2 linked regions of the Oryctolagus cuniculus genome follow. The protein of the gene in region 1 binds, or shares a complex with, the protein of each later gene. Links are inferred from orthologs where the notes say so. Each region holds a gene or a part of one and is shown on either strand. Other genes may lie near its edges. The genes, in order: GTF2A1 and POLR2H.

Region 1 (3,809 bases):
GAAAAGATCTATCCCTTGGCATAATGGAAAAAGAGAAATTTCATTAGTGTAGAGGGTTGGGCAAAAAATCTCTCTAAGACGTTCAAGTATGCTGTTTGTTTTTTCTTTACTTAGAATTGACAGAAGAGTTCCTTGGGTCATTGTTGTGGTGTGTTGCTGCCTCCAATGCTGGGGGCCTGTATGAGCTCTTGTTCATGTCATGGATGTTCCATCTCAGATCCCGCTTCAAGCTAAAATGCCTGGGAAAGCAGCAGAGAATGGCCCACGTGCTTGGGCCCCTGCCTCCCACATGGGAGACTTGGATGAAGCTCCTGGTTCCTGGCTTCATCCTGCCCTGGCTGTTGCAGTCACTTAGGGAGTGATCCAGTGTATGGAAAATCCTTCTCTCTGTGTCTCCCTCTTTTTCTGTAACTCTGCCTTTCAAATAAATAAATAAATCTTTTTTTTTTTTTTTTTAAAGGGGGCAAACAACAGAGTTTCTGAGTACTGTGAAGGATTGTGGTGCATTGGTTTAAGCCCCTGCCTGCAATACCAGAATCCCAAATCAGAGCGCTGATTGGAATCCCAGCTGCTCTGCCTCCAATCCAGCTCACTGCTAGTGCACGTGGGAAAGCAGTGAAGATGACCCATGCCACCTATGCGGGAGACCTGGATAGAGTTCCAGGATTCTGGCTTAGGCCTGGTCCAGTCCTGGCCATTACTGCCAGTTGGGTAGTGAATCAGTAGATAGAAGATCTCTGTCTCTGTCACTGTGCCTTTCAAATAAATAAAATTCTTGAAGAGAAGAATTCCATAAAGATAGTTTCATAATGGTTCTGATACTACAAAGGATAATCTTTTTCTGAAACTCTGTGCTATATAATAGCTGATGATTAAAGAGTTGCTATGAAAAGATGGTTGAAGATAAAAACAAAAATTTCTTTAGGTTGCTAAAGTGGCAAAGAGGAAGTTTGATACTTTAAAAAATTGTTTTCATTATCCTTTGCACTTAGATGAGATTTGAGGTTATATTTTTGTGCTATGTAAGTTTTTAAATGGAAGAATTCCATAAATAGCTAGTAAAAATATGTTTGACCATGTATTGAGTTATTTTTTCATTTTTAAACTTTTAATGTTGTTTGCATTAGTTGTGGGAGAATAAACTAATGCAGTCTAGAGCAGTAGATGGATTTCATTCAGAAGAGCAACAACTTTTATTGCAAGTTCAACAGCAACATCAACCCCAGCAGCAACAGCATCACCACCACCACCACCATCAGCAAGCTCAGCCTCAGCAGACAGTACCTCAGCAAGCCCAGACCCAGCAGGTCCTTATTCCTGCATCACAGCAAGGTGAGACTAGATCTGTTTTCCTAACTACTTGGAAATTAAGTTGGTCATTTTAAAAGACTAGAAATACTCTAGGTCACTTGGATCTTGTTTTTAAAAGGTATTTCATAAACCTAAAAAAAAAAGTACTGATTTTGTTTTTCCCTTTTCTATGTATGTTTTTATGTATATAAATTTGTATAAAATGTGAGTCCTATTTGTAGAATAGTGATAGACAAATAATTACCTGATTGAAACCCTAAAATAGTATTCAGATACTTGTACTAATGTTTTTTAGGAAGTACATATAGTGGTGGCTTTCCTAAAATTTAAGTCAGATTTATAATTTTTTTTTAACTAAGATTTCATTGTTTTATATAGTAAAGTAGTTATTTCTTCATGAAACATTTTCCTTCAAAGGGATATTGGTGTTGTTTTTATGTCTTAAATCCTGAGTTTTGAACCATATGTTGGCATTCTGAAAATTCAGTACCATGGTAATTTCTGTGTCTAAATTAACAATTAAATTTCTTTTATGTGAATAGTTGATCTATATATCTTGATGTATATTATTACTCTGTTTAAAGGTATGAACAATGCACAATGCAAAACTATTTGTTTTTCATTTATTTTTAACTGAAAGGCTGAGAGAGAGAAAGGGAGAGAGAGATCCTTCTATCTACTGGTTTATTGTCCAAATGCCTGCAACAGTGTGGGCTGGGACAGCCTGAAACCAGGAGCTTGGAACTCAATCCAGTTCTCTCTTATGGGTGGCGGGTGCCTAAGTACTTGAGTCATCACCTGCTATCTCCTAAGAAAGATGAGGCTTCATTTTGACTCCTTTTAGGAACTCTATGAAATAGTTCTTAGCTCCATTGCTTCATAGCTGAGGCAAATCTGGGCCTTAAAAAGGCTGAGAAGCATGATCCATTATATGTAGCAAATATTTTCTGTCATAACAACTATGTTCAATTAAAAACTTACTAAGTATTCTAATTCAGTGAATCTTGATTGTTATTGGAGAAGAAGGTAAATGAAAAGCTTGTTTTAAGGTAACCATTTAGTTAACCTACATATATATGTGTATGACTTGAAATTGATAGTGAAGGGCAAGCATTGTGGAGCAGCCAGGTTAAACTGCTGCTTTTAATGCCTGCATACCACATCAGAGTACTGGTTGAAGTTCTGACTGACTGCTCTGCTTCTGATCCAGCTTCCAGCTAATGCACCTGAAAAGGCAGGAGATAATGGCCCAAGTACTTAAGTCCCCGCCACCCACTTGAGAAATCTGGATGGAGTTTTAGGTTCATGATTTCAGTCTTGTTCAACCCTGGCTATTGTAGGCATTTGAGGAGTGAACAGTGAATTCACAGTCTCTCTCTGTTTTTTTTTCTCTCTCTCTCTTTCAAATATATACATATATACATACATAATTCTTTTAAAAAAAGTGAAAAAAATGATAGTGATACACAGTGGAAAGGTCTTTTTGGGTTGTTTTGCTGTTTATATAAAGTAAGATTTAATATCTGCTTTAAATCTATCCTTTGTTATCAAATATTTTTAACTCTTAATCTTTTCTGATGACTGTTCCTCCTAATGCTTTCAAGCCTGGCATTAGGATTTTAGGTCATCATAAATTAAAATTTGATTTTCTTCACTCAGAGATTATGTGGATAATGGGATTGTCTGTCTGTTCTCTGAAATTTGCGGAATCAAACATTTAATGCCTTTTACACTTAAGTAACATCACCATTATTTTCAATTTCTACTTTTCGAACAATTAGTAACATCCTAGCAACTGTCAAATTGGGAGAAAAGGATTGTAGATTAAAAAAAGTAGTTATAACTGAATTTTGTTCCTAATGAATTAGTAGCTGTTGTGATAAGTATTTCATTTCCTCATCTTACTGAATTCCTTTGCAACCTTCAAATTTATCACTTAAATACTTAAATATTGATGTTTTCTGTTATGATACAGTTATACTAGAGCTTTAAATGCTGTAAAATGTATAACATTTTGAAGTATCAAGGGGTTGAGGGCATTTAAATGCAGAAAAAGTTTTCAGCATTAAATAACATACTTGTGATTATGAAATAGCCTTAGGGTTCCTTGTTTCCATGTGTGTTTATTTGATTTAATTATTTTGTAGCCACGGCACCTCAAGTTATTGTTCCTGATTCTAAGCTGATACAGCACATGAATGCATCAAACATGGTAAGACTCATAGTGTAGCACTTTGATTGGCTTTGCGTCTTCTAACTCAGATAGGGATCTTGCCTGGGTATGTTGTATATTAACAACTTGAAGTTTATTGAAGACTTGAACAAGACAGATATTTTATTTAGTTTCTTATATATTGTATTTAGCAGCAGATCTAAAGTTTAACTTGGTATTTCAGCATTAAGCTTCATAAAATTACGTAATTTTCTGTTTAAAAAGTACCAAAAGGTGTTTTATGGGAGCTCTTTTATCCCTGTTTGTTTAAAACTGGGTAATTCCC
Region 2 (4,254 bases), on another chromosome or scaffold:
AGAGCAGAGTGCGGCGGGCCCCGGGCGGGCGCCGCTGGCACGGCCTCCCGCTCCCGTCCCCTCCTCGGCGGGCGGGCCGAGGGCGGTGCCCTCTGCGCTGCTCCGCCCGCCAGCCCATCCGGAGGGGCCGGCCTAGCCCGGCTAGGGTCTGCGACGGGGCCGCCTCCCAGGCTCCGGAGAGGCGGCAGGGGGCGCCTGGAACGCGCCTGCCGGCGGAGAAGGACTGAGAGGGGCGCCCGCGGCCGGGGCGGGGCAGGGCCACTGGCACGTGGAGCCGGTCCACAGCTCTCCGTGCAAGGCGGAGAGGGACCGGAGCCGCCGGGCGCTTAGGACTTCGGGCTCGGGGCTGCAGGGCTGCTAATTCGTGAGAGCAGCTGCCTTCTCTGCTGAGGACTGGAGGCCCAGGCGGGCCTGGAAAGGCCCCTCTGCGGGGGATTCGGAGGGCCATTCTGGGCTCCTGCCCTTGCTCGGGGCTAGCCTCAGGAGGTGCCCCTGCAATACCGGACCCGCCGGATTTTGCGGGCAAGGGGACTGGGAAAGAAAGGCCCGAGGGAAGGGAGTTCTAGTGCCTGGAAGGCAGGCGTCGGGGGTGGGGTGGGGTGGGCAGAGGTCGCTTCTCCTGGCAGGGCCCAAGGAAAACCCCAGGAGCTGCTGACGTCTCGCCGCCTTGGGGAAACGGCCTGCTGGGGTTTGGCTTTCTCTATCAGGGTCCGGGGAAGGAGAGAACAGAGGGTGGGGTGAGCACGGGGTGCACGGGCAGCGTTCGAGATAGCGAGCGCAGACGCGGCGTGCAGGAGGGCGGCAGGAGGCCAAGGAAGGGAGGTTGTGGGAGAAGGGGGCCAGCACCCGGGAGGAAGAGACAGGAAAGTGATCCAAGAGGAGGGCAGTGCTGGGGGAACACGCGGCACACGCTGAGGGGGCACTGCTAACGGGTAGGGCAGTGTGAGGGGATTTGTGGCAGGCGGAAGGAGCGAGCAGGGCCCAGGGGAAGAGGGCAGTGGTGGGGGGAGGGTGCAGCGCCAGAGGAGGGCAGTGCCAGCTTTCCTTTCCCCCGGAGTGATATCCTGGACGGCCCCGGCTCAGGTGACGTCCAGCAGGGCCGAGCCAGCCCCCGCCGACCTGGGGGCCCTCGGTGCCAGTTGAGGGACTAGGCATTACGTCCTGCTGGGCTAGCGCTCTGGGGGCGGAGTTTTGTTGCACCCGTCCCCGGCGCGGACTATGCCCTCGGGGGACACGAGGACCGGCAGGGTAGGGCTAGGGCCCGGCTTCTCTGGGGCAAAGATCAAGGTCTCGGCCTGGGTTAAGTCTCCAAGCATTCCAGGCTTCAGGGCCCGGACTCTGGAGAGGGCGAAGCGGAGCCCCAGCGGAGCGCGATAACCCGAGCCACCTCCGCCAGAGGTGGTGCTTGGGGCGTTCCCGCCCTGGGCGGAGTCACCTGGCTCGGAGACACGCCCTCAATGCGTGTTCCCTCGCCAGCAATCTATCGGGGCGGAAGTTGAGAATCCCCGAGGTGGAGGCGGCGGAAGTGGCTGCCGTACTGCAAGCTGGTGCGCATGCGCTTTCCTGCTGCTCTGCCGCCAGCGTTCAGGCGCCTTTTGCTCTAGTGTCTTCTTTTTCCACGCGAGAGTGGGCTAACTCGTAGTTGTGGTCTCGCTCCTCGCGTTTCCGCTGCTCTCGTGGCCCCCTCACGATGGCGGGCATCCTGTTTGAGGACATTTTCGATGTGAAAGACATTGACCCGGAAGGCAAGAAGTTTGACCGAGGTAGGTAAGGTGTGGGGTTTGGCCGAAGAAACTAACTTCCTCGGGACACACCCCTGGGCTCCGGCTCACGTGGCCTGCCCTTGCGGCAGGTCCTGATGTAGGGGCCTCTCCCAGGAGACCTTTTATGGATGAGAAAGCCGAGACGCCGAGCTCTCCCTGGCTGCACACACGCGGTGCCCAGTGCCATGGTGGTGGCAGGCTCCTGGACGTCTCTGCAGTCGCCTCTCACTTACACACATTTTGCCTTATTTAGTGCTCTCGAGAGTTCCCAGGAGGTAGGTGGTGCCTTCCTCTCCTCCTGGAGGGTAAGTTTGCCACCCAAGGCTGCACCGTGGTCAGTCTGACTTATGAGCCCGAATTCTTGTGTGGAGTCGAGTCTCCAGCTGATGTCAGACCCTCTGAGTTAACTGCGCGGTGCAGGCCAGGCGCCCGAGGTGTTTTTCAAGTCTCAGTTATTCAGTGAGATAATCCCCTTAGCATGGGAGAGGACACCTTTGGTTGAAGAAGTCCCTTGCCCAGACCCAGGTTCTAAATCACCCAGGTAGTGCCTAGAACTCTGTCTTTTGCTGCTAGAATATTTTGATTTGGGGGCAGGATTCCATTCATTTGCCATGCTTTTTTAAAAAATTATTATTATTTTTTAAAGATTAATTTTATTTATTTGAAAGAGAGAGAGGTAGAGACAGAGAAAGGTCTTCCATCCTTTGGTTCACTCCCCAGATGGCCACAACGGCTGGAGCTGTGCTGATCTGAAGCCAGGAGCCAGGAGCTTCTTCCAGGTCTCCCACACGGTGCAGGGGCCCAAGGACTTGGGCTATCCTCTACTGCTTTCCCAGGCCACAGCAGAGAGTTGGGTTGGAAGTGGAGCAGCCAGGATATGAACTGGCACCCATATGGGATGCCGGCGCCTTAGGTCAGGGCGTCAACCCACTGCGCCATAGTGCCAGCCCCAATTATTAATTTTTAAAGACTTATTTATTTATATGAAAGGCAGAATTACAGAGAGAGAGAGGGGTCTTTAATCCGTTGGTTCACTGCCCAGATGGCCACAATGGCCGGAGCTGCACTGATCTGAAGCCAGGCTCCTGGAGCTTCTTCCAGGTCTCCCACGTGGGTGCAGGGGCCCAAGGACCTGGGCCATCCTCTTCTGCTTTCCCGGGTGCATTAGCAGGGATTGGAAGTGGAGCAGCTGGGACTTGAACCGGCACCCATATGGGATGCCAGCACTGCAGGTGGGGCTTTGCCCACTAATCCACAATCGCTGGCCCCTGCCATGGTTTTTGTCCTCCATGCATATCTGGTTCTGAGCGAGCCTGCATTTCTCTCTCTCTCTCTCTCTTTTTTTTAAGGTTTGTTTTATTTATTTGAAAGACAGAGATAGGGAGAGACAGTGAAAGAGGTCTTCCATCCACTGCTTCACTCCCCAGGTGGCCTCAGTGCCTGGGGCTGGGTGAAGCCAAAGTGATCTGGGAGCTGGATCAGAAGCAAAGCAGCCTCTTCCAACTGGTGCTCTGATACAGAATGCCCACCTCGTACACAGCAGCTCTGCCCACTGCACTGCAGTGCCTGCACTTTTTTTTTTTTTTTTTTTTTTTTAAGATTTACTTACTTGTTTGAAAGGCAGAGTTACAGAGAGGCAGAGGCAGAGAGAAAGAGAGGTCTTCCATCTGCTGATTCATTCCCCCAAATGGTTGCAATGGCATGGGCTGGGCTGATCCGAAGCCAGGAGCTTCTTCCAGGTCTCCCACATGAGTGCAGGAGCCCAAGGACTTGGACCATCTTCTGCCTTCCCAGGCCATAGCAGAGAGCTGGATCAGAAGTAGAGCAGCAGGGACTCGAACCAGCACTCATTTGGGATGCCAGTGCTGCAGGTGGCGGCTTTACCCAATATGCCCTGTGCCTGCACTTCTGTGAGAGCACATAAGAGGCCAGTGGATGTAGATCAGGTTACATTAAATAGTCGATTGCCTGTAATTCCCAAACTGGGATCTGTCAGATCTGCCTTTGCCCTGGTAATTACATCGTCCGTCTCTCTGCTTCTCCCCAGTGTCTCGACTGCACTGTGAGAGCGAATCTTTCAAGATGGACCTCATCTTAGATGTAAACATTCAGATTTACCCTGTGGACCTGGGTAAGTATTGAACCCAGAGAATCAACAGAGGCTTCTTGCCGTCTCAGCTATTCTTTACGCCCAGATATTGCTGCTGTTTTCAGGTGACAAGTTCCGGTTGGTCATAGCTAGTACCTTGTATGAAGACGGGACCCTGGATGATGGGGAATACAACCCTACAGATGACAGGCCTTCCCGGTAAGGAGTGGGGATGGGAGGCCTGGAATACACGCTGAGGACTGAGATCAGTGGTAGAGAAAGACTGTTTAATTCTTGGAATAAGTGATTATCGGCAGAATTGGAGCAATCTTAAATAAATTACTGCACTTTAGAATTCAAACAACTGATGGAGCTGGCATTGTGGTGTAGCAGGTTAAGCTG

Evidence for each region.
Region 2: GTF2A1 (region 1) and POLR2H share a complex: the UniProt entries of both Homo sapiens proteins name them as parts of the TBP-based Pol II pre-initiation complex. The link is inferred for Oryctolagus cuniculus from reciprocal best matches to the Homo sapiens genes GTF2A1 and POLR2H.

What each region holds. Positions count from the first base shown.
Region 1 is NC_091451.1:27,041,182-27,044,990, reverse strand, and holds part of GTF2A1 (transcription initiation factor IIA subunit 1), read left to right. Parts: intron 1-1,127; coding exon 1,128-1,332; intron 1,333-2,886; exon of another isoform or gene 2,887-3,030; intron 3,031-3,458; coding exon 3,459-3,523; intron 3,524-3,809. UniProt on the Homo sapiens protein: TFIIA is a component of the transcription machinery of RNA polymerase II and plays an important role in transcriptional activation. TFIIA in a complex with TBP mediates transcriptional activity.
Region 2 is NC_091435.1:93,932,053-93,936,306, forward strand, and holds the start of POLR2H (DNA-directed RNA polymerases I, II, and III subunit RPABC3), read left to right. Parts: upstream 1-1,179; 5' UTR 1,180-1,690; coding exon 1,691-1,763; intron 1,764-3,810; coding exon 3,811-3,894; intron 3,895-3,977; coding exon 3,978-4,071; intron 4,072-4,254. UniProt on the Homo sapiens protein: DNA-dependent RNA polymerase catalyzes the transcription of DNA into RNA using the four ribonucleoside triphosphates as substrates.